Schizosaccharomyces pombe: one gene and its partners. Changing the gene in region 1 together with any one later gene gives a genetic interaction. Each region holds a gene or a part of one and is shown in the gene's direction. Other genes may lie near its edges. The genes, in order: csx1, cip2 and grc3.

Evidence for each region.
Region 2: of csx1 (region 1) and cip2, a mutation in one rescues a mutant of the other (synthetic rescue), as found in Schizosaccharomyces pombe (one study listed by BioGRID).
Region 3: of csx1 (region 1) and grc3, extra expression of one rescues a mutant of the other (dosage rescue), as found in Schizosaccharomyces pombe (one study listed by BioGRID).

Annotation. Positions count from the first base shown.
Region 1 is NC_003424.3:3,568,247-3,575,710, reverse strand, and holds csx1 (RNA-binding protein Csx1), read left to right. Parts: upstream 1-3,365; coding exon 3,366-5,264; 3' UTR 5,265-5,704; downstream 5,705-7,464. Other genes in the region: SPOM_SPAC17A2.10C (uncharacterized protein), read left to right, coding at 24-716; spliceosome complex disassembly protein Ntr2, read left to right, coding at 6,172-6,268, 6,343-6,419, 6,485-6,570, 6,619-7,444. UniProt on the Schizosaccharomyces pombe protein: Regulates global gene expression after oxidative stress. Interacts and stabilizes atf1 and pcr1 mRNAs after oxidative stress, thus controlling their turnover.
Region 2 is NC_003424.3:340,055-348,197, reverse strand, and holds cip2 (RNA-binding protein Cip2), read left to right. Parts: upstream 1-3,026; 5' UTR 3,027-3,068; coding exon 3,069-4,799; 3' UTR 4,800-6,108; downstream 6,109-8,143. Other genes in the region: GATOR2-SEACAT complex ubiquitin-protein ligase E3 subunit Sea4, read right to left, coding at 1-1,003; efg1 (rRNA-processing protein), read left to right, coding at 1,580-1,654, 1,759-1,891, 1,954-2,084, 2,147-2,359; protein Mcp60, read left to right, coding at 6,343-8,091. UniProt on the Schizosaccharomyces pombe protein: Regulates global gene expression after oxidative stress. Interacts and stabilizes mRNAs and may regulate their transition between different cytoplasmic components after oxidative stress.
Region 3 is NC_003421.2:2,180,237-2,189,129, forward strand, and holds grc3 (polynucleotide kinase Grc3), read left to right. Parts: upstream 1-3,363; 5' UTR 3,364-3,570; coding exon 3,571-3,604; exon of another isoform or gene 3,605-3,681; coding exon 3,682-5,858; 3' UTR 5,859-6,486; coding exon of another isoform or gene 6,487-6,918; 3' UTR 6,919-7,153; downstream 7,154-8,893. Other genes in the region: protein mug128, read right to left, coding at 6,487-6,918; NuA4 histone acetyltransferase core complex-Piccolo HAT module linker protein Epl1, read right to left, coding at 8,299-8,893. UniProt on the Schizosaccharomyces pombe protein: Polynucleotide 5'-kinase required for both rRNA processing and heterochromatic gene silencing.

The DNA of each region.
Region 1 (7,464 bases):
TGCAAGTCACAACCCATTTGCTCATGACGTGCGTTAATGTTTGTTTTTTTCTTTTTCCTCCTTGCCATCGTAACAAAATCACGGAAGCGGACAAAAGCTTGGTCGATCTTTTGATCCCCTCCTTATGTTGCTCCCTAGCAGTCTTCCCATCTATTCCTCTTATAAATACGCACTCCAACCTTTGTCTTTTCTCTAATTTTTCTCATTCCTGTTTTCTCTTCTGTACCCATCCAGATACGCTTCCCACTTCACTTTCCATCAATCCAAAAAAGCTCTCTCTCTCTTTTTCTTTTCCCCTTTCACAAAAGAGACCTTTTCCCAATTTCTTACATCCATTCACTGGTTCGGAGCTATCACTTTTCCGTTGTCTATTGCTTTTTTTTTTCTTCTTATTATTTTTCCTTTCTTTCTCTTTTTCGTTTTCTTTTCTTTTTTTCCTTTCTCAAATTTTCATTGTTTATTTTTCCTCTTTTCCCATTTTACACTTCCTTTTTTTTTTTTTTTTGTGTGTGTGTGTGTTTCTTTCTTTTCTTTTTTCTCTATCTCACTTACTCTCACTTGCCATCCTTTTTTTACCTTTGCTTTTACGCGTCTTTTCTACTCTTTCTCGTCTTCCCCGTTTGTTTTGCTTGTGTTTACAAAAAAAAAGACGCGTTTTAATTCCTTTCGCATTCACCTCATTCCGTAAAATTGCTTCTTTGCCGTGTGTTTGTTGAATCGTATTGTTTTCCTATTTTTTTTTAAACCGGTTCTTATTCACTTACCTTTTTACTACTACTAGTACTATTACTATTACTGGTACTACTATTACTACTTACTTTCATTACCGTCAAACGCCCCGTTAATTCCGTAACACCGTTAACGCCGCTTTTCTCGGTTTTCTTCCTTTTTTTTTTTTGTTTCACTACATACATACAAACTTCGTTTAATACCCCTTGTGTGTTTTTTTTAGGGAGTTTTTCTTTTTTTTTTGCCTATCCAGTATATTCTAATTTACTCTTGTCTTCTTCCTTTTTTCAACCACTTGTTTTTGTAAGCTTTTGCTACTCTCTCCTAGTGTCTTTACTTTTTGTGGTTGTTGTGTAATTTTTTTTTTCTTTTGCTCGGTTCGGTTAGTTTAGTTTGTTTTGTTTGTTGCTTCGTTTACTTATCTTTCAAACAAAGCACTTTTCTCCCTCTCTTTCCATTCCATCACACACTGCCTTATCAACAAACCCCCCAAGAAAAGTCTTGCACTTTTCTTCATCCTTTTCTTTTTTATTCTTTTATTCGCTTTCTCACTTTCACATCATTCACCGCTTTTAGCAACACTCGGCTAACTATTTAAAAAGTCCAGCCAAGTTTCCTATTCATTCAATCGATTTCATTCGATTTCCTTTTCTTTCCTTTGCAACGGTTTCTTTTCTAGACCCATTTCTCGGTGGTTTGCTTTTTTTTTTCGCTCACCATCCTCCCACATCAATCCTTACCTGATTTTCTCTCTCTCACGCACATACTCTCTCTACTGCCTTGTGCTCTCTCTGTCTCTCTCCCTTGTCCTCTTTCGATTCTTAACCTCGTAAATCTTACATCCATTTTTCGGACTTTGGTTTTCGGTACCGGTGCGCATCGCTGTCTCGCTTTTTTTCCTCGCTACGCATCCTTATTGCTCTCTTGGGATTTCGCCACTTTCCCTCGCCTTGCTTGTCTTGTGTTGCCTAGCTGATTGCATAGCCCATACTTCATTTGTGTTTATTACACACCGTACCCCCCTTGTTGTGTGTATACGTTTTTAAGGTCTCGCTATTTAAAGTGCTTGCCTAGTCTGGACACGCTCCTACTCTCTCCCATTCACTTTTACTTTTCACTCGTCTCCCAACGGTTCATCCTTTCTTTCCTTTACTTTGCTTTGCTTCGCTTTGCATTCGGAACCGGTTGTACTTTTTTTTTCTCTTTTTCGCTGCGTGACTTATTTATTTGTATTTTACCGAATTCCTCTAGCATTCCAGCGTTCTATCCTATCACCACTTTTTTTTTCATTTTTCTTCTTTTTCCCCTATTGAACGATTTCTCCTCTTCCCTACTCTATCGTTCCCTCTAAATTTTCCGTACCTTTTTGCAGATTCCTTACTTGGTTATATATTACTGACTGCTTTTGGTATCTTTTTTCCATTCTTCTTCTCGTCTCTTTCAAACTCTACCTTTCTCGAGAAGGAAAATTTTCCCTTTTACTTCCTCGCATACCGTATCCTCCTATTTAGCTATATCACTAGCGAAAAAAAGGACTACTCGATATCAAAAGGATTCGTTTGTTCTTTATATATTATAACATACATATACTGCACAGTATATATATATAAACCTATAATATACGGACACCTCTTTTTCCTGCATTGTATATATATTATATTTATATAATATATAATATAATATAATATATATATATATATTTGTCATTGTTGCTGTTGTTCTTTAACTTCATCAAAGAAAACACTTCTGTCCCCCCTGTCAGGTTCCTTCGTTTTTTATTGCACATATATATATATTTTTATTTTATTTTATTTTCTTTTCTTCTTCTCTTTCTGTGATTGATTAACTCGACTCGATTTTCTTTTTTCCTTTTCTTTATTTTCTCTCTTCCAACCTTTGGTTTCTTTTTCTTTTTTTTATTCTTCATACCTAATAATTTTCAGAAGAGACCTTGTTCATCGTTGTTTCCTTTTTCTTTCGTACATTGTATTACTTGTTTTATTATTTTTAAAATAAAAACTGAAGAACCCTGCTTCATCACAACCATCAGGTTTTCTTTTTCGTGTACCCATTCAGTGATTTTAACGAATTTTTCTTTCACGCCTCATTAAGGATTGTATTTTCGCTTTTTGTCTCATCAACAATCGAATAACTTTGTTTCTGTGTTTTTTTTTTATATTTTCACTTCAACAAGCTTTTTACCGCGAAACCATCTCATTTATTAATTTCCTTTTATTTCAGATCGATTTTGATTTTTATTCTTCCAATCCTCTTTAATACTCGATCTTTGTAACACTTTGTTTTAGTACTTCTTTTATTCCTGAATCTTTTTTTTTTTGCTCTTACCGTTACACTTTACGCAAGCAAAAAAAATTTCTCTTTTTTTTTTTATTAAATTGTTCTTGATTGTTCTATTAGCATTTCTTCATCTCAAGAGTTCTTAGACCTCTCGCTTTTTCGTCCTTGATTTATTTGTCTGTACGTTATAAGCTAAGCTTTATTTTGTTCATCGTTGAAAGATTCTACCACCCATTGTCTTATACTGGTTACGTTTTTTGACTTTTGTGTCTCATTGAAACTTTGTTGTTCATTCATATTACTTACTTTCTTTTACTTTTTTTTGGATATCTATTTAAATGTCTATTGACTGCCTTTATCGCCGTTCTTCATTGTTTGATACTTCCTTCGTCCCTTTGCATTCGTCTATTCCAGCAACCTCGAAAATGTCAGCTTCTAATTCAGATGTCAATGCCCCCATTTCCCCTGTGGTTGATGAGGGCAAATCAGAGTTAGTTTCTCCTACTTTGGAGAGACTTGTGGCTCCTTTCAACTGTTCTCCTAGCTCCACTCCACTTCAAGATGTAGCAGGTGTTGGCTCGAAAATGAGCGACACCTTATGGATGGGTGACCTGGAACCTTGGATGGACGCTACTTTTATTCAACAGCTCTGGGCTTCCCTCAACGAACCTGTCAACGTTAAAGTCATGCGCTCCAAAGCATCCTCTTCGGAAACGCTTATCAGCTATTGCTTCGTTCAGTTTTCCTCTTCTGCAGCTGCTGAGCGTGCTTTGATGAAGTATAATAACACCATGATTCCTGGTGCTCACTGTACCTTCAAGCTTAACTGGGCTACTGGTGGCGGCATTCAACATAACAACTTTGTTTCCCGTGATCCTGAGTTTAGTATCTTCGTTGGCGACCTTCTTCCCACTACCGAGGATTCGGATCTTTTTATGACTTTCCGTTCCATATATCCCTCATGTACCTCAGCCAAGATCATTGTCGATCCCGTTACCGGTCTCAGCAGGAAATATGGCTTTGTTCGCTTTTCAAGTGAGAAAGAACAACAACATGCCTTGATGCATATGCAGGGCTATTTGTGTCAAGGTCGCCCCTTACGCATCTCTGTCGCTTCACCAAAGTCTAGAGCCTCCATCGCCGCCGATTCTGCCCTTGGTATCGTTCCTACTTCTACTTCTAACCGCCAGCCTAATCAAGATCTTTGTAGCATGGATCCTTTGAACACTACGGTGTTTGTCGGTGGCTTGGCTAGCAATTTATCCGAGAAAGATTTGCAAGTTTGCTTTCAGCCCTTTGGAAGAATTTTGAACATCAAGATTCCCTTTGGCAAGGGATGTGGCTTTGTCCAGTACAGTGAAAAATCTGCTGCTGAAAAGGCCATAAACACTATGCAGGGTGCCTTAGTTGGTACTTCTCATATCCGCCTCGCGTGGGGTCATAATACGCTTCCTGTATCTGCCTTGTCTCAATCTCAATCCCAAGTTTCAGATGAGGGCTTCGACAGAACTCTTTCCGCTAACCAAATTTTCGGTATGAATCAATCTGTCATTGGAGCAAACTCTGGCAGCTCAAACTCATCCGGCTCTAGCTTGAAGAGTGCACCTGTTTCACCTCGTACTGCTGCTGCGCAATCTTTGTTGCCAAACTCCGTTGTTTCCTCAATCAATGGCATGAACTCCGTAAATTTTTCAACCATTTCTCCACCTCCTTTGTCTCGTTCAGCCTCCATTTCTCCTACGTTGTCCGGTAGTGGCTCAGGTTTGACACCTCTTTCTTCCCATTTCCCTTCAGCTGCCACTGGCTTGGTAGGCGGACAGGTGTATCCTCAGTCTTCTGTTTTGCAATCCTCAAAAATTAATGGTTCTGCAAAGGTCCAGCCTAGTGTGAAGCTCCCCGAATGGTTGCAGCCTTTTTCCGGCAACAATCATAACTCCTTTGCTACTCAAGATTTATTAACACGTGTTTCCTCCTTAAAGTTGGTTGATGATGAGCAACCTGCTTCTTTGAATGGTTCAGCATTTCAAGCGAGAGCTTCTAGGCCTTGGAACCTAGGAAGGGAGCGTCAGTCTTCACTAATTGATCTCCGTCATGAGTTGGAGCAAAATGAAAACGGTTTGGAGAAATCCGGCTTTGGTTTGAACTTGAGAGGTCGCTTGCCTCCTCGTTCTTATTCTACATTTAATTGTACTGGTCAATACTTGCAACCTTCTCTACGCTTGTCACGCGATTCATAAATTATTTTTATGATGTTTGAAATGCATTACTACTACTACTATTTGTTTCTTCCACTTCTCTTCTTAAGTGAAGGGATTTCCCGAATATTCTTGTTTTATTTCTAATGTTTTTGTTTTAATTTTTTATTTATTTTCGTTTTTCAAAGGCATCCGTATAAGTTTTCGAGGGCTCCTGATCAAGTTAGTTTAATGTCTTAAAGAACTGAAGGGTGCTCTCGTGATTTTTTTTATTTTGTTTTGTTTTTATTCTTGTATGTTAAATCTCTCTTGTGATGTTTTTTATAACTGTTGAATATTATTTGTGCCAAGGATTGTTTTATTTATGATTGTTTTATTTTTCTTTCATTGCTGTTGTTCCTTAATGCACATATGTACATGAAAACTTCCATTGAGGTTTTTCAAACGTCCAAATCTTTTTTTTGGATCGATGAGTTATTTATATGTTTTATTTTAAAATGTCCTTTCCAAAAAATAATTTTGTTATTTTTTCTTCTGATTTTCTAAATAATTAAAAGCATTGTTTTTGTTTTCAACTTATATAATGGAAATTTTCCAGTGACTGTAGTAGATATTGGTAGCTTGTCGATTGTAGCTTTTCAATTAAAAGTTTTAAATCTGAAACTTGAATTTCAAACACATTTCTCTAAAATTAGTCGAAAAAAATGTAAGTCAATTGAACAAATACTTTTCTGATGCTTTGCATTATCCGATGCACCTCTTCAGTATGTGCCATAATATTAAATGCCCAAGTAAAGACATTTATGTTTATCCCTTTCTAATTTTCACAGAACATAAAAACATCATTTTAATTAAGACTTTATATGATTTTTTTTTTACAAAAATAGCTATTCAATATGAAAGATTGGTAGAAATATGTTTGCCTAGAAAGTAGCACCCATTTACCAACATGCGACGATACTTAAAAAAGGCGAAGCCTAAAATCGTGCAAACGAGCGACAATGAGGAAGAAAAGCATGAAGAAAATTTAAACGTTTCTCAATCAAGTAAGAACTTAAAAGCGCAAAAGTGCTTGGGCTCGAATAGAACTTATTATCGCAAGTGTACTAACAATGCTTAGACAAAAATGCAAATAGAAGAAAAACAAAAGCGAAAGAAAAAAATTCGGGAAAATTTAGGGTGAAATATGAGAACGAGGTAAGTTGTTTTTTGCTGGAAAACGTTTTACCAATTCATCTGTTATATTAACAAACATTGATTAGGAAGGAGACGACGATGGGGAGGATTCTCAAATCCCTTTGATTCCAAAGGTAAAAAAGCAAAGCTCTTTTCATTCGGTTGATGATTTGTAAGTAAAATGTTTTAAGTCCAAGTATTAGTTATCTAATTAATAAAGAATATCGCGAAGAATGGATGCTCTCTCGCATGAAAGTGGATACTCCAATGCTTATGTGGATGAGTTAAAGAGAAAAAGTAGGCAGACACCATCAGAATTTACAAAGAAGGAGGAGGATTCCTCGACCAAAGAAAGCGAATTGCAAACAAGATCGTCACCTCCTTTACCCGTTAATACTAGTTTGGAATGGAATATGCTTAATCAAGGCATTCCTGAGGAAGCAATGATTAAGGAGTTAAAGGATCGAGAAGGAAGAAAGAGAAACATTGCCATGATGACGGATAATTACATTTCACTTGAAACAGGGGACCAACTGATGTTGGCACAAAATCATAAAGAAGAGAAATTGCTTCAAACGGAAGACGAAATTCAAGATGAAGGTTACTCTGGATTTGAAAATTACGTGGAGGAGTCAGAAAAACTTCAAGAAATATACCACCATAGCTCGGAAAGTTTACGGACACGATCAATTCAAATGGCCGTCGACCAGAAAAATATGGAGATGGAATTGGACGATGAAGACATAGCAGAGCCCATCCAATCATGGGAACATACTCAAATCAAGAAAGGTGCCTTTGGAGAATCTCCTGCTTTTACAAATGGACTTTCTGTGAAGCTTCCTAATATTCTTACAATGGATGAACAAATTCAGCGGCTAAAAGAAGCAATAGCTTCTGAGAAGCTTCAGCAGGAGGAGCGTTCACAGATTATTAAATCACTTATGGAAGAAGAACTCGAGATTAATGAACAAGAGGAAAAGATTAAACATTCTTTCATTGATTTAGATAAAACTTTGTTGAACAACCTTACCAAAAGCAAATCCTGATTTACTTTGGATTTTTTAAT
Region 2 (8,143 bases), 3.2 Mb from region 1:
TATAAGGGTTAAATGAAAAGGGAATGACCTCATCATGGACAGAAAAAAGTTTCGGTTGTTCGTTTATGACACCCAAAATTTGAACATGAGTTGGAAAGGCTGTAGAAGGAGTAAAAAAATCAATGCCAGAACATTGTGAATTTGGTTTAACAGGATATTTCTTCTCATAATTTACAAAGACAGAATTATTTGCGGATCCTTCATTTCCATTGACACAAGGCAATAATTGACGAAGTGTAATCGAATTGTTTGACAAAACAGCCAATTGTCCAGGTTTCCATTCAGAATATTTCAGTGCAAATAATTGTGGATTTTTGGGCTTTTTATTTTCGTTCCGTAAAATAATTTGTAAATAATTATCGGATTTGAAGTATCGAGTATCAAAAATCGCAATGTCACCATCATAAGAATTTGCGGCAAAATAGTTAGGAGAAAATGGATCAACAACTATATTACTATAATATTGCGTATTGACGGAAGAAACTGAGTCTAGTTGCTGCCTAGTATCAATTATATGGACAGAACGCGAAGTTGATCCGGTAAGCAAAAGAGGAGTGTCTTTCTTATAACAAACGGAAGAAACTCCGTCTAGAGTAGAAGACTGCATTAAGGGACTACTCTTCGGGTCAGACAGTAATGAATTCAAGTCCCATAACTTCAAGGAAGACTCGTTTCGAGATTTTGCAAATCCAGCAACAAGATGTTCAGTTTCAGAAAATGCCAAACTATTGCAAGGGCGAGCATATCCAGGTGTTACTACTGCTTGAAATTCTGGATGCTTAACAGAAAGCAATGATATATTTCCGGTAGAAGAACCAGCACCCAATATTTCATTGTTTCCGTGAAAAGAGTCTATACATTTAACATTTTTCAATGATCTCCAAATAATGTGAGTTTTCCAATTTACTTTAGGGGAAGCTTTGACGGCGACATATCGAATCTCATCTGAGGAGCCGTTAACCCAAAAATAACAGCCATTCCTCTTTTTACTTCTATTTAACATTCTCTAAAGAGAAATTTGACAATTAGGCTTTACCAGAAACGCCCAAAATACTGCATAAACATTAAACAGAGCTTGATCGAAGCGTTCTTCAATCTCAACCACTCGTCAAACATAACGTTTAGCACTAATTTGCTTAACGATAGCTAACAGAAATGCCTTAACAACGGACTGAAAAGAGGCTGTCAAATTCAAAGGTTTTCTTTTTGCTATTGATGATTCTCTTAACAATAGTAGTATTAAAATACAGACCGGTTGCTAGATTAACTATCTTTTGCATACTTTTTAATCTCTAGGGTGACTTCGGTGTCGAACAAGCGATTCTTTGATGTACTGTTGAAAGTCTAAGCTTTTAAATCACTCCACAAGTACAACATATAAATCTACCTTGAATAAGTGTGAGTGAATCAAATATTTTAATCATAATTACCAGCTTAAACTTATATATAAAAGTAACGTGTCACTTGAGAACCTAGCAGCTGTAAAAATTGCAGTCCTTTAAGTTTACTACTGTTCTTCACCAGAACTAATTGTTTATGGTTTGAATTTCTATTTATCTATTTTATTGAGCGTTTTAGCATGCCAAAATTTAAGGGCCCTGGACTTTCTGTGCTGAAGAAAAAAATTCGCGACAATGAGAGATTATTGAAAAAGGTGTGTAATTTTTTTGCTGGTTTAAAAACATCTGCGGTTTCAGTGTGTAATAAATATTACCTTCCTTTTTATGTTAATGAATAAGAAAACTAACTTCCTTTAAGGAGAATTTGCCTGCAAACATTCGTGTTGAACATGAACGAGCTCTTTTGGGTCTACAAGAGCAGTTGTCTATGGCACAGTTAGAGCATAAAAAGCAAAAGATTTTTGAAAGATACAAAAAAGTTCGATTTTTTGGTATGAAACATATATAAAAACAGCATTTTTTGTTCAGTGAACTTGCTTACTGATTTTCTCAGAACGTAAAAAAGCAGAACGACGTATTAAACAATTGGAAAAATCTTTGAAGGATGAAACTATGGATGATGAGAAACGCAAGCAGTGTGAGAAATCGATGCGTAAATGTCAAATTGATCTTATGTATATTAAAGTATGTTTGTATTTTCGACTTCATTTCAACTATCAACTTGGCTAAGATACTAACCTATTTAGGAATACCCCCCTTTAACAAAGTATGTTTCACTCTACGCAGAAGGCACATCTGAACAGACCGAAGAAACTCGAAATCGCATTTGGGCCGAGATGGAAGAACGCTTTAATAGTGGCAGAAAACACAAAATACCATCTTCAGGTTCCAACAGGGTTCCTGTACAGGAAAAAAGTTCAACTGGTGGTGATTTGGAAGATGAATTTTTGCAAAGATAAATGAAAACTTGGATTGAGGTTTTGGAAATAAAGGGATTAAATAGACGAAACTGTAATAATATGATTCATTCTTTTTAATAAAGGTTGTGAAGTTTCCATATGAGTTATCGAGCAAGGTATTCTTTTTATGCAAGTTTATTTAAATTTTTTCTATGTCATATTGCAATGGGATTTGCTAGGGTACCAAAAATAGAACTTGTGGGAGAGAAGCTTTTGGATCCTAAGGTTCACTGAAGATATTTTTCACATATTTCATTCTATAATCTAATATGCTAAAATTCGAATGATATTTCATGGAATATCAAATTAATAAAAATATAAATTTACAAGAATTTAAGTAAAAACAAAAAATTAGGACTTTCATTTTGTTCTGTTTTAGGTGGTCGAATTATTAGACAGTTTAATAGTCTTTATCATTGCAGCAGTGTTTTTAAGAGCTCTTAGATGGACTTTCGGTTTTATCATCACAGTACCCTGTTATTTGCCTGGCAAAAAGTTACCTAGTGGGGGTTTAAAAATCAACACCAGTATGTAGTATATACATTTTATAATAATTATTTTTACATTTGCTTCTATAGATTGGTATATTTGAATTTATGGGTTTAAGACCTCAATAATATGGTGTAGTATATTGACTTTGCGCCCTTGGTGGTGTCCACGGATACCTAACCTCCGCACCACACGAAGTTACGACTTGTTTAGTGTCGATATGGCTGAGGGCACAAGCCAAAGGCCATTAACGCCTTTGTCGCAGGCATTTTTGTCAACTAATACTCTTTCTCCTGCTTCTTCCCCTTTAACTTTCCATTCTGAGGCTGCATCTCTGCGTAGAAAACGGTCCAACTTTTTCCCCAAATTAGATGAATTAAATGGAGCTCAAGATGAAGAAATGAGAGGTCTTAATATTCCTGGAGGATCAGGATATCTCGAGAACCGATATGGTCGTGATAAGTTTACGTTTTCTGATGCAGCCGTTAACAGTGCTGGAATGGGAGGGTCTGGCATATTTTCCCACAACAATGCAGATGATGGTTTGGGTGATGGTTCTTCTACGGTTTTACCAAGTTCCCTTAAACAAATGCTGGATCCTGAAATTTCAACTGCCAATAATCCATCTGCAAAGCCTCGTCGAACTCGTCTTCAAACTGCTTGGAAAGAAGCAACTAATTCAGCAGGCCTTTCTCTCCGGTCTGCAAGTGCTTTAGATGTACTCAAAAATTCTGGACCTGCTACTACCTCATTACTTTCCTCAACAACATACCCTTTTGATAGTTTAAATGCATTCAACGAACCATCCCATTCACATGTACCAAACTCAGCTTCTAGCACTGCTCTGTCTAGAGGTATGAGCAACTCTGTAACTTTGACGGCACCCCCTGAACCTGATGAAGAGACCATTCCTACCGCGATTGTTATTAAAAATATTCCATTCTCCTTGAAGAAAGAAGTGTTGTTTAAAGTGTTCACTGCATTAGACATCCCACGTCCATACGCTTTTAATTATCATTTTGATAACGGAGTTTTTAGGGGCCTTGCCTTTGCTAATTTCCATTCTCCAGAGGAAGCCAAAACGGTTGTGCAAGTTTTGAATGGCTATGAAATTACTGGTCGTCGTCTTCGTGTTGAATGGAAGCGTCAACTACCGCCTGCGGAGCGTGAACGTGTTGAGCGTGGTAAACAAGAGAAACGCGCTGTAGAAGAACGAAAAAATCAATTGAAATCTCCGTTTTCTGTTGCCAATATAGGTGCTGGCATTGATTTTGATTTGAATGATCCAGCTATACTCAATGTATATTCTCATATCTTGTTATTTTATTATCGCAGCGATAACACTAATGATCTTGTATTTGATTCTTCAACCACCCAGGAAGAACGTCGGGTTGCTGCCTTATTAGCTTCCCGTCTCAATCTCAATCATTCAGTTACTGGTGACGGTGAAGCTAAGCAAGTGGTTATTACCATGCCTAGTACTCATTTTACTCCCGCTAATAATTCGAGTGCTAACCACTCTCCTTTGATGGCCCCAAACGCCAGTACTTTAAATCCTTCTTCTTTAGGTGCTTCCAATTTGAGCCAACCAAGTCTTGCAAATCACTTGAGCTCCTCTGGTTTATTTGACAATGGTCTTTTCTCGTCCGGTGGTCTTTCTAGTAATTTTTCAAGTCTTAGACGACCCGCTCCCTCTATGCATCTTGCGGATAGCATACGTTCTCTCAGAGGACTAAATGATTCTAAAGCCTTTTCCGACATACGTAGTATGCCAGCTACTCCGTTAGAACTTGCTACTCCTTTTGCTAATTTAAATGTTTCCTCTCCACTGGATCGCAATGCGACTAATTCATCAAATACTTTAAACGGTAGTGCGATGAACGATTATTTTGCAAGCCTTACTCCATCAAACACCGGTGCTATTGGATCCAGAACTTTTACAAAGAATTAGTCTTGGATTTTTTGTTTTTCCCTGCTTTTGATTAATCTTGTTTTGGCTATGTCTCGGGTTTTATTAAGTTTCATTTACCTTACGATAATAAGCGCTTTCAAGCAAATTTATACTTTGTACATAAAAACGACGAGTGAAATTATCTCAATGAATTATCCATTTTTACGACCTAGTGTTCAATTGAGGACATGATTTTCATGCTTATATCGTTTACATACTCACTTCGGATGTGCATGTGATCGGGCTCATGCTTTTAAACTATAATGTGATTCTTGTAAAACGAAAAGGATTTAATTTAATAGATGATATTTTTCTCTCTTCAAAGTCACGTTTATGATTATTTTGAGAGGAATAAAATGGAATTTTCTTTTGTGAGATTTTTTTAAACTTTTGTATCGCAAATCCGGTTTGACGATTCGTATACTGGGATACGATGCTTGAGCTATACAGCAAAAGTCTCAAATAAAATTTACGATAACCGATCTTACGTGGGATGTTAATGGTGTTATTTGCAATAATTTGTTGTTTTGATTGTGTTTTGTTCTTATGTGTAGGACCTTTCGTTACTATCAATACCTTTTCAATTTCTATATCTCATATGTTTTGTACGGACCCAGCTTGTTCACGTTAGTGTCACTCGGTTTTTAACTATTACGAATGATGGCTTCATTTTAATGGCTGTTTGGCTAATTGTGCCTAAATTCTTTTCCGTGTTATTGATTTGATAATGTGTTAAAGAATTCAATTTCGATTATGAGAGTTCGGTTGTCATTTGTATGATTTTTTTCGTCAAGATATGATTGCACTATTTTTTTTTTGTTATTATTATTTTTTTTCGCACTGTTTTTAGTGGATACTTGATGATTTTGTCTAAACGTATCTCGTATCTGCTGTATCGTTTAGTATTACTTTTTAAATAAGTATAGAACATTTACGACTTTTTAATTTGATAAATTGAGTTGATCTTTCTTATTTGAATAATCACGAAGAAACGGCACATTGACCATAGTCGAGCACCGCATTTTTTTTAGAGGTTTTAATGACTGTAAATCGACTAAATGAAAACGCTCCCCGTTCTTGCTCTATATGTTTTAATTTTTTAGAAGCCGTTTAGCGATAAACAATGCAATACACTATTTTTCGATATTTTTCTTCAAGAAGCTACCAAACCTATTCTTAAAATTTGGTCGCTTTTCTATTGGCTATTTGCCGGCATGTCAATCTTTATCCCATCAAAGTTCTTTCTAGAATATCAGGCAGTCACAGTATATATAATGTCTATTATAGCTAACTTATCGTCTGCCTAGCCTTGTTTGGAATTTCATTAAGCGGAAAATAGTGAAGAGTATTTCACGTATTTTAAAACCAATAATATATCTAAAAGCTGCAAGCATTTATTTTTGCAGGGACAGCTAGCTGGTTATATTCCTAACGTGTGGGTTGTATTTGCGTTAGATAACTTTACATTTCTTTATATCTCTTTTTGGGTGCATTAAAAAAAACCATTTTTTACAACTTCATTTTATTTCATTAATTAAACATAATGGTGAGCTTCCTTTCTTCCAGTGTATCTCGTCTACCTTTAAGAATTGCTGGTCGTCGAATCCCCGGCAGATTTGCCGTCCCTCAAGTTCGTACATATGCTAAAGACTTAAAATTTGGTGTTGATGCTCGCGCATCTTTACTCACCGGTGTCGATACTCTTGCTCGTGCCGTATCTGTAACTTTGGGACCAAAGGGCCGTAATGTCTTGATTGACCAACCTTTTGGTTCCCCTAAAATCACTAAGGACGGTGTAACTGTCGCCCGTAGTGTAAGTTTGAAAGATAAATTCGAAAACCTTGGTGCAAGACTAGTTCAGGATGTTGCAAGCAAGACTAATGAAGTTGCTGGTGATGGTACCACTACTGCTACTGTTTTAACTCGTGCCATCTTTTCTGAGACTGTTCGTAACGTGGCTGCCGGTTGCAACCCTATGGACCTTCGCCGGGGAATTCAACTTGCTGTTGATAACGTCGTCGAATTTTTGCAAGCCAATAAGCGTGATATTACTACTTCTGAAGAGATTTCCCAAGTCGCTACCATCTCTGCTAACGGTGACACTCATATCGGTGAGCTTCTTGCTAAAGCCATGGAACGTGTTGGTAAAGAAGGCGTTATCACCGTCAAAGAAGGGCGCACAATAAGCGACGAATTAGAGGTTACTGAGGGTATGAAGTTTGATCGTGGTTACATTTCTCCTTACTTTATTACCGATGTCAAATCACAAAAGGTTGAATTTGAAAATCCTCTTATTCTTCTTTCTGAAAAGAAAGTGTCTGCTGTCCAAGACATTCTTCCCTCTTTGGAGCTTGCCGCTCAGCAGCGTCGTCCCTTAGTTATCATCGCAGAGGACGTTGATGGTGAAGCTTTGGCTGCTTGTATCTTAAACAAGCTTCGTGGGCAATTACAAGTTGTTGCTATTAAAGCCCCTGGCTTTGGTGACAACCGTCGTAATATGCTTGGAGATTTAGCCGTCTTGACTGATAGTGCCGTGTTCAATGATGAAATTGATGTTTCCATCGAAAAGGCTCAACCCCATCATTTGGGTAGCTGTGGCTCTGTAACTGTCACCAAGGAAGACACTATCATTATGAAAGGTGCTGGTGACCATGTTAAAGTTAACGACCGTTGTGAACAGATTCGTGGTGTCATGGCCGACCCTAATCTCACTGAATACGAAAAAGAAAAGCTTCAAGAGAGATTGGCCAAATTGAGCGGTGGTATTGCTGTTATTAAGGTTGGAGGCTCCAGTGAAGTTGAAGTCAACGAGAAGAAAGACCGTATTGTTGATGCATTGAATGCTGTTAAGGCTGCTGTTTCCGAGGGTGTTCTCCCAGGTGCTGGTACCTCTTTTGTTAAGGCTAGTCTTCGCTTAGGAGACATTCCTACAAATAACTTTGATCAAAAGCTTGGCGTCGAAATTGTTCGCAAAGCTATCACTCGTCCCGCTCAAACCATTCTTGAAAATGCTGGATTAGAGGGTAACTTGATTGTTGGTAAACTTAAGGAGCTTTATGGCAAGGAATTTAACATCGGTTATGATATTGCTAAGGATCGTTTTGTTGATTTAAATGAAATTGGTGTTTTGGATCCCCTAAAGGTCGTACGTACCGGTTTAGTTGATGCTAGTGGAGTCGCCTCATTAATGGGTACCACCGAATGTGCCATCGTCGATGCTCCTGAAGAGTCCAAGGCCCCTGCTGGTCCTCCCGGAATGGGTGGCATGGGTGGAATGCCCGGTATGATGTAAGGTATCAAAAAAATGCCGACGTGGTTTTTTAAATTTTTACAATTTATTAAAA
Region 3 (8,893 bases), on another chromosome or scaffold:
AAGTGTCACTATAACTCATGTTTGTAATAGCTCATACCTGAAGTAAGGAATGAGATTCAGTTGAAATTTTATGTAGCTCCAGATATAACACATATCCTACTATAGATATTAACAAATCTATCTCATGAAATCTTATTCACTTGTGAAGCTATATGCAATTAAAACGGATGACATATAATGGTAGGCAACGCAGTGTATAGCCTTGTATTGCAGTATCGTTGACCGAAGCCAGCGAAATTGTCAGCAATACTACACTACGTTATGCTACATTACGTTGCGTATCACTATATGTCATATGTTGGAATACTAGCTAAGATCCGTTTATTGATAATCACGGGTAACTATCCGTCTATATACATAGATACCCGTTGATAACAACTATTTAGAAATATTATAAATAGCGTTACAACTGAACTGAGGAACGAGGTTCAGTTATGAGCTATATTAGTGATAGGTAACATTATAACCTAGTTAATACAATACCTATACTCTGTTGCTACTTATACAACCTGTGTATTGTAATATAATAGACCACAAGGAAAACTCACCGCAGTTCTACGTATCCTTAAATCAGATACCAAACTGCGTAGCTTACAGAAATCTAGTAGCTCCGTAGGATGAATTAAGTAACTTTCTGAGTGTCAAACACTGCAGTAAACATCTATACTGATTTATGGCGGACTTCTTAATGATACATAAGGAAAGCTAACTTGAGTGAATAAAAAGGGCAGTGACAAAATAAATGTGTCAGAGGCAATTACATTAAAATGGGTTTTGGAATTCTACTTTTCACTTGCTATTATTAAAAAAGCGGTTTTCTTTGAAACGAGTATTGCTCATTTATTTACGTTGAACGGCGGGAACTGAACTCCAGAGTGAATATTCTTGATTTTGCTGTTTCGTTTGTCGCAATCACAGCAATTAATTCGCGCATGTATTTTATTAAATAAGGAATGATATTATTATTATGAAGAATAATTACGCTTCCTTGGAAAGTTCTATAGATGAAGAAGATGAATTGAAGACAGGACATGAAATTGATTTGGAAAAAGGCCTACTTCCAGAATATAATTCGGATGAAGAGAGCACACTACCTCCATATTCAGGTAAGAATTGTAGATAATAAGAAAGGAATTACTCAATTGAAAGTTGAAACTTGCCATCGTGTCAAATTGCATGCTTTGGTCATTGTTTACAATCGGCCATGCAATGCACACATTTTAAAACATGTTCTTTCTTTACTAAAGTATTTCAATCATATTAAGTTAAACAGATCACGCACGTGTAAGCAATCCTCCTAACACACATAGAGAAAACCATTCTTCCGGGACGGCAGATAATTCTTCTACCTCTCCGTTGAAAAAAGAATTTTTATCATTCATTTCAATCTTTGTGCTAAACGTACCCGCAATTTGTTATCTAACGTATAAGGACGCTCTCTTTAAAGATTATGGCAAAGATGAATGGGTATATTTTGGAGTGTGGTGTGCTATTTGCCTGATGATTTTTATTTCTTTATGGTGTAAGTGACACGATAGGTCAATTCTTACGTTCATTCACTAACTCATTAGGCTTCTTTGAAACTTGGACCAGGCAGTGGCACAATGTGTCAAGGTAACTGCGGTCGGCTTGTACAACTCAAGGGAAAAATGGGTTGTAATAATCTGGTTATTATGGGTAGTCATTTGTTTTGTACTCTTTGGTTGCGTCAAATTCGGTAATGTGAACTTAGACAAGACTCTCATCTGTTCTACATGCAGTATTTCAGCTGCTTTACTTTTATTTTTATTATATGGTATGTGAAGTTATGTAGTTACCATTACTGACCGCTAACACGCAGTTCGTCTTCCATTCTGGACACTTAAGCATATGTTTTCTGGGTTTTTTCAAGTTCTAGGTGTACAAAGTTGTGTCGTTATTGTAACGAAAGGTTTGATGCATTTATTTGACAAACATATCGACGGGACAGGCTACGAAATTGTAGCCTCTTCACTCTTTGTTATAGGCAATTTTCTTTTCTTTTACGAAATGGGTTTGTTTAATATTCCTGTAATTTATTCTAATCGTATCAGAATGTCCAGGTGCTCTCAAAAGGATGCCCAAATTTATCAGGAATGGTATAGCTTTTATATTAGGTATGTGTATTCAACCAACTGTATGAATGATTCTTTACTTACCCGATTAGAAGGTGCAGGGAGAGCGATTAGAGGTGCCAACGATAATAATGACATTCCCTTGGGGGAAATGGAAGTTGAAAGCGAAGTCTAATTGCGTTATTAATGTAGTTGTCGCTCCAGTTGGAAAACCTCTTTACCAAAATTACCAACGCAGAGAAGCTGCGGCTTTTTTAAAAATAAGCACCAATTTTCTTTAATCATCCTCTTTCACTATAAGGTTATGGAATATATGCTTAACTTATTCTTTCAATTACCAAAAATTGCCAACCAATGTATTCTACGATGTTGGATAAAGTGCATTGAGGACCGAGTCTTTATTTATTATGTATGCGAGTCTAATTATTTGTCTTTTTTAATGGAACTCAAGTCACAAACAATAATGATTTAAATTGTTTACGACAACTTAAAATCAACTAATGAAATCGAAAAACTCGTTGTTCCGCCTTGTTAAATTCACAATTTCATTGTCGTTATTACGTTCATTTCTCCTTCATCTTGATTCTTAATGAATCAAGCTTAATTATCATTTTTTCTTTTTGTTTAATGGTTCAATTCAAACAAAATTAATGTTTACAAAATAATGAATAGCATAATAAAATATTGTGATTCAGAACGATGGTTTGTTATAGTAATAACCTAAAGACACATTGCAATAGTGAATATCTAATAACGCAGTAAACGTATATACTGGTTTTATGTTGAGTTTCCTAATGATGCATAAGCTGAGTGGGCGATATGACTTTGATTGACACATATTTTGTGGAAATTTTCAATATATAAATCAAAGAGACTAATGATTTATATTCTAATACTTTTATCCACATCGAAAGCAACAGTTCATAACCTAACTGTTGGGTCAACTGATAGAATAAAAAAAACTCGGGTGTTCGTCCCAATTATAATTATCACTACAGTTATAGTCTAAATATCTATTAACTTCAATAACTGATTTTTAACGAGTATTATATTCTTTCCTTTTTTTCAAGGTATAACGATTAATTCTTCATTGTTTCAATATTAATAAGAAGCTACTAGTTAAAGCAAGCTGGTATTATCGTTATGTTACTACCAAAAAAGGAATACCGTGCTGTTACATTTTGTTATAAAAATATACCGTTAATCACTATTTCCCAAATTACAGATATCGTACTTTACTTGGTATTTCCTCTATTTACTCTTTCTCGCTGTGCAATAAGAAGAAAAAATTTTATTATCTGTTTACAAAACATAGCTAAATTTTCTAAATTAACTTTTGTTATTGATTGTTAGTTTATGGTGGATTGTTGTTAATTGAATTAAGATCCAAAGCGCTTGCTTGTTCACATTCGTGTGAATTGCACTTTTAAAAAAAAAAAGGAAAACTTAGTTATTTATTTAATAAGCTTCTACCATAATGGTCAAGCGTCAACGTATTGAGAGCTCAAATGGTAAGTGTCTTAGTTAGTCTTAAGTATTGGCTCTCTTATATCTTTTCTAGGATAATATTCTAACAGTTCTATGACAGTTCCACTCAGTGCATTCGCTGTGCGTCAATTGACTTTAAGTAAAGCAGCCAGAAAGAAAGACAATTCATCGGGGAAAAAGCGCAGCGTTTCGGAAGAAGAAAGCCAAGACAAATATGAAGACGAAATGAAAACTGAAGGCGAATTTCCTTCTTACAAGCACACGCTCGTACAAGTGGTTGTCCCAGGAGTTGATCATAGAACAAAGCTCCATTCAGAGTCATCCAAGAATGATTCTGAAATAACTCCTGATATAAATAGGTCCAAGGTTAATCCTCAGGAATACTCTGAATTCTCAGTTGCTAGTCCTCAAACGATTTCTCCGAGTTTACCTTTAAACTTGGACGACGAAACCGTAAGTGAAAACGTTCCACATAGCCCACAATCGTCTAACGATGCCATTCCGGTGATTAAAATTACGGAAGAAAATTCATTCAGGGTTAAAGATACGCTATACGTTGGATTACATAAAGATCAAAAATTAGCAATGGTTGGTACCTTCATTTTTCGTAGCGTTAGAGGGAAGTTTCAGCTCTTTGGTGCAACCTATTCTTCAGCTTGTATGTCTTGGTTTCCTTTAAATGCTCCGTTAGCATTTGCGACACCAGTATTTTCTGCTATAGACAATGCATTACCTGCTATGCAGATTTCCGAATATGAAGAAGATTCCCTTAACCTTCGTTCCTTTGCAGTTCCCTCTTACTCACCAAAAGAGCATGAATATGAATTAGAGCCCAAAGATATTCTCCCAAATTTTGAAACTGTAATAGCTTTTAGAGAAAATGAAAATGGTCTCTCTAAGATAGCTCGTGTCCTTCCATTTGCAAAGCGTTTGTTTTCTTTTAAGAATCTTTTGCAAGATGCCTCATCAATATCAAATAATTTTGAGATAACTCCGGAGTCTTGGTGTTCTTTTTCTAACCAGTTACTGTTTTCCACTTCCAAGTCAGACTATGTTGTTCCTCGTCTTATGGTTTGTGGACCTAAAGGATCCGGTAAAAGCAGTTTTTCACGATACATCACCAATAGGCTTTTACAGCAGTATCGTCACATTGCATATCTTGACCTCGACCCTGGTCAACCCGAAGTCGTACCTTCTGGGCACATTTCATTATATTATATTAACTCACCATTGCAAGGACCTGTTTTCGCCCGAATGCTCTTTCCTACTTACATGTTACGTTTGCATCTCGGAGATATAAGTCCCCAGAAAGATCCGGATCATTACATTGCTTGTGTTACTCGTCTTTTTGCTGAATATAAAGATTATATTTTTAATCAAGAGATATCCCAAAAGGAGATTATTCCTTTGATAATAAATTGTCCAGGTTGGATCAGAGGGGGTGGTGCTGAGCTTCTTTCTTCTATTGTTGATATATGTCAACCAACAGAAGTTGTATACATGAGTCGTGAAGACATGAAATCAAGTCATCGTGAAAAAAAGAGTATTTACCAGCACAAAGAATATATGCCTGATTTTCTTTCAAGCAGAGATGAGTTTCAACTTACCCTCTTGGAATCAACTTGGCAGTATCTGCCTGATCCCAACGTTAACAAGGTTACCTCTGCTGATAATCGTATGTTAGGCTTACTTTCCTATCTGTATTTCAATTGCAATTTACAGAGGTGGGACTTTACGACAAGTTTGACAGCTTGTCAACCTATAGCCACAGCTTTTAAGGGATCTTCTAAGGGAATAGATGCTGTTAATATTATAGGTGAACCTCTTAATGTTAATGATGTCGCGAAAACTATTAATGGTACTTTAATGGCACTTTATGCCTGCGACACTGCCTCTTTAGATAACAGTAACACACAACGGATTGTTAGTAGTCCTGAAGGGATACCATTAATCATCAATGATGGACTTCCTTTGGATCCCAATACGTCTCATTGCCTAGGTTTAATCGTGCTACGCACTATTGATCTCAAACGTAACGAATTTCATTTTGTTGGTCCTCTTAATCTTGAGCTTATTAAAGATGCCTATGCAAAGAGCTTGAAAATTGTCCTTGAAAGAGGAAGGTTAGAGCTTCCAGTGTACGCAATGTTGGATCACCGTTTAGCACAATACTCGGAATTGCCATACCTCGATCGAAATCACGATCGGGTGGCTGTTGGCGCTCATCGTAGGCGCGTTCGCCGTAACATTATCCGTCGTAGTACTTTCGTTGGATGATACCCAAATCTTATGTTTTACGAATTTCTGAAGACGGCTACGCTTTTTGCATACCTGCTAGAAATTATTTTGGGCAGCTGAATACAAACTATATGAAATATACTTTTTCTTATTTTTTTTTGGCGGTTAAAAAGGACAATAGTGAAATTTATTTATATTTATTGTTTCTTAAGAAAAAATCGTGATTTGAATTTGTTTTAGATTACTCCAATGCAAGTACAATTTACGTTCTTCGGCGAACTGGTCTGGGAACATTGAGTACTATGCTTATTGCGAGACTGCATATCGATGGTTAAGCTCCGATGGTCTTTTGTTGGCAGCAAAAGTTATGCATTAGGATACTTTCATACTTACTGCCATATCACTGGTATGTTGAGTTTTTCTACACTGTATATGCAAATTTATAAGGCATTTGAATTTTCACTATGTTTAAGAATCTACTTTGGTAATTTAGCATATTCTGACTAACGGTTTGAAGCTTGGTTTCGATATTCCGGATTACCGATTGACTATTTTAATTAACTTTTAGAGATGGTTTTGCTGTTGAGTTTTTTTGATTTTATTCAGAGTACATTTTCAATGGTTGTGTATCTGTATGTAATCATTCAACTTTTCAATTTTCCTTTCTCTAAAGGTGAGGAAAATTGGCTATTTTTTTCCACGTTTTGAAAGTGCCATAACATTTGAAGTATAGTATTTGCTTTTTCGTATAAATCCCTTCGAAGGATTCAGCTATGCAAGTGCACTGTTCTAGCAATTGGGGAATGTGATTGTGTGGTTTTCTTTTTTTGATACTGAAATTCTCTCGTATTACTTGATTTCCCAAAAACCAATAGACTATACGAACGACTTGTTGAAAGCAGCGACACGTATGTTTGTATATTAAATACCATTGATAATGAGTCAAGCTGTTTGAAGATGTTGTCAGTAACTTTTCTTTAATGTACACATAATCATATAACAGTTGCTTTGCTTCATCTTGAATTTTTGAGCTCTTGTAAGTTGAAGAACGCTCAAGGTTTGATGATTCCTTTACATAATGCAAATTGGCATATTCCATGTTTATGATGCTTTGCAGACAGTCGACCATTCTACAATAAATTCGATACGTCGCCGAACGTACGCATCGTTTGAGAGATTTGTAGCGCCTGTTTTTGGGCCTGAATAGTCTTTTCGCTATAAAATTGTGCATTTAAAATGGAATCGAGCGGCTGTTAAGAGTGTTGTTTTAAAATTTAAAATATAAAAGAATGTTTAATTGGTAATATTACCAAAGCAATATATCAATTAGTACCTTGACTGATTTATTATTGCAGATGTTTTATATCTTCGTTTGGTAGTGTTGAAGTTTACGTGACTAAAGAAGTTGTTGGTAAATAGTTAAGTGTAAACAATGAAGTGAATAGTATGCATGTGAGTATTACTAGTTTTTTATTTTCATAAAAGCTAAACAGTAAATCTATTAATCATTCATATACTTAATGACTTTAATTGAATCCCCAAAGTCGTTATGATGAACCTAAAATTTGTCAGTTCAGTTAAAAAAGTTGTTTCAAGTTTTTTATAATTGAAAGTAACAACAATAAAAAGATAAAGGTTATTGATATTCAATTAAGTCGATAATTTCTAAATCTCCTACTGCAATCATAATTGCTAGAAGTACGCCTTATTAACACATACTATGGAAACTAAGAGTGAGCATTATAAATTCGATATGACTCTTCTTCATATTTGCTATTGTATCTTGTAGCAATGAGAGAGACATATAGTTAGTGGATGATTTTCTAAAAAATAAGCTCAGAGAACTAAAGTAAATGGTTATAGAACAAAAAGGAAAGAAACCAATAAATATATAATCAACAACCCAACGCAATGACTTAGTCTGAAATTTTTCCAAAACTACTTAAAAAGCTAAAAATGTATTCAATTTGAATACGAATTCGATAAGTCGTTAAGACATAAACTTCGTACATCGTATATTTATTATATGCTAAATTAAAAAAGCTGAACAATGAATTGAATGTCATTAAAAAAGTCATTAACCACATGCAAGTCTAAAAAAGCGGGATCACCAAAAATTTTGTAACAATTCACCGATTCAACTAGTACAGTATCAAATAAATTAGCGACGATAAAGAATCTATGCATGCATAAAACCAGGGTTGGACTGTAGAAGCAAAATCAAATCTTGTGAGCCAAAAAAAAAGCTGACTATGCTTTCAAGTCAATTCCCCCTATTAAATTTTTTATTTGGACAAACAAAAATCATAAAAATGAATAAACACTATTTTTCTAAAGAGAAAAATAGATTATACCCCAAATCCCTTCAAGAAATCAATCAAAATCTTAAATAAGCTAGTCGAGGAGAAATAGTTAAAATAAAATTTGATCGAAATCTTTAGTAATGGAAATATTATAAATACCATAGATAAAAAGCGTTTTATGACTGAGTACCCATATCATCGTTTAGCAAGCTAGCTCGAAACATTATAGAAGCATCAGATTCATCATCGAGTATAATTGTGTCATCGGCATCAAAGGGAATGTCAAAAAGCCATCGATCTTCAACACGAGATTTTGGTTTACTCAACCGATGTACTGGCAATGCACGAGTGCGATCCAACATCAAACGCCCTCCACGTCCTATTCGTTGTCGAACGCAGATGGGATTTCTGGGATGTAATAAAGTGCTATAGCCGTATAAAGAGTTATTTGAAGAGAATGAAAGTGAATCGCACGTATTAAAATTAGATAGGGAAGAGTGAGGTGTAGAGTAGGTGGGTCCATTATCAGATAATGGAGTCGAAGGGGTTGAGGAAGGAATACTCAGTTGATTATGGGATTGTTTCGTTTCTTTTCCTGAATAATATGGAATAATGTTTCGGTAAAACGAATCGGGATAATTAGTATGAATAACGGTACTAGGCGTCTCCAAAAGGTCAACCCAATTACGATCGAGCTGTTCCTTCTTGGTAAGACGTTGCTGAAGACGAATCTGAAATTGTGTAATTTGGGCTGATTGAACATCATCAAGC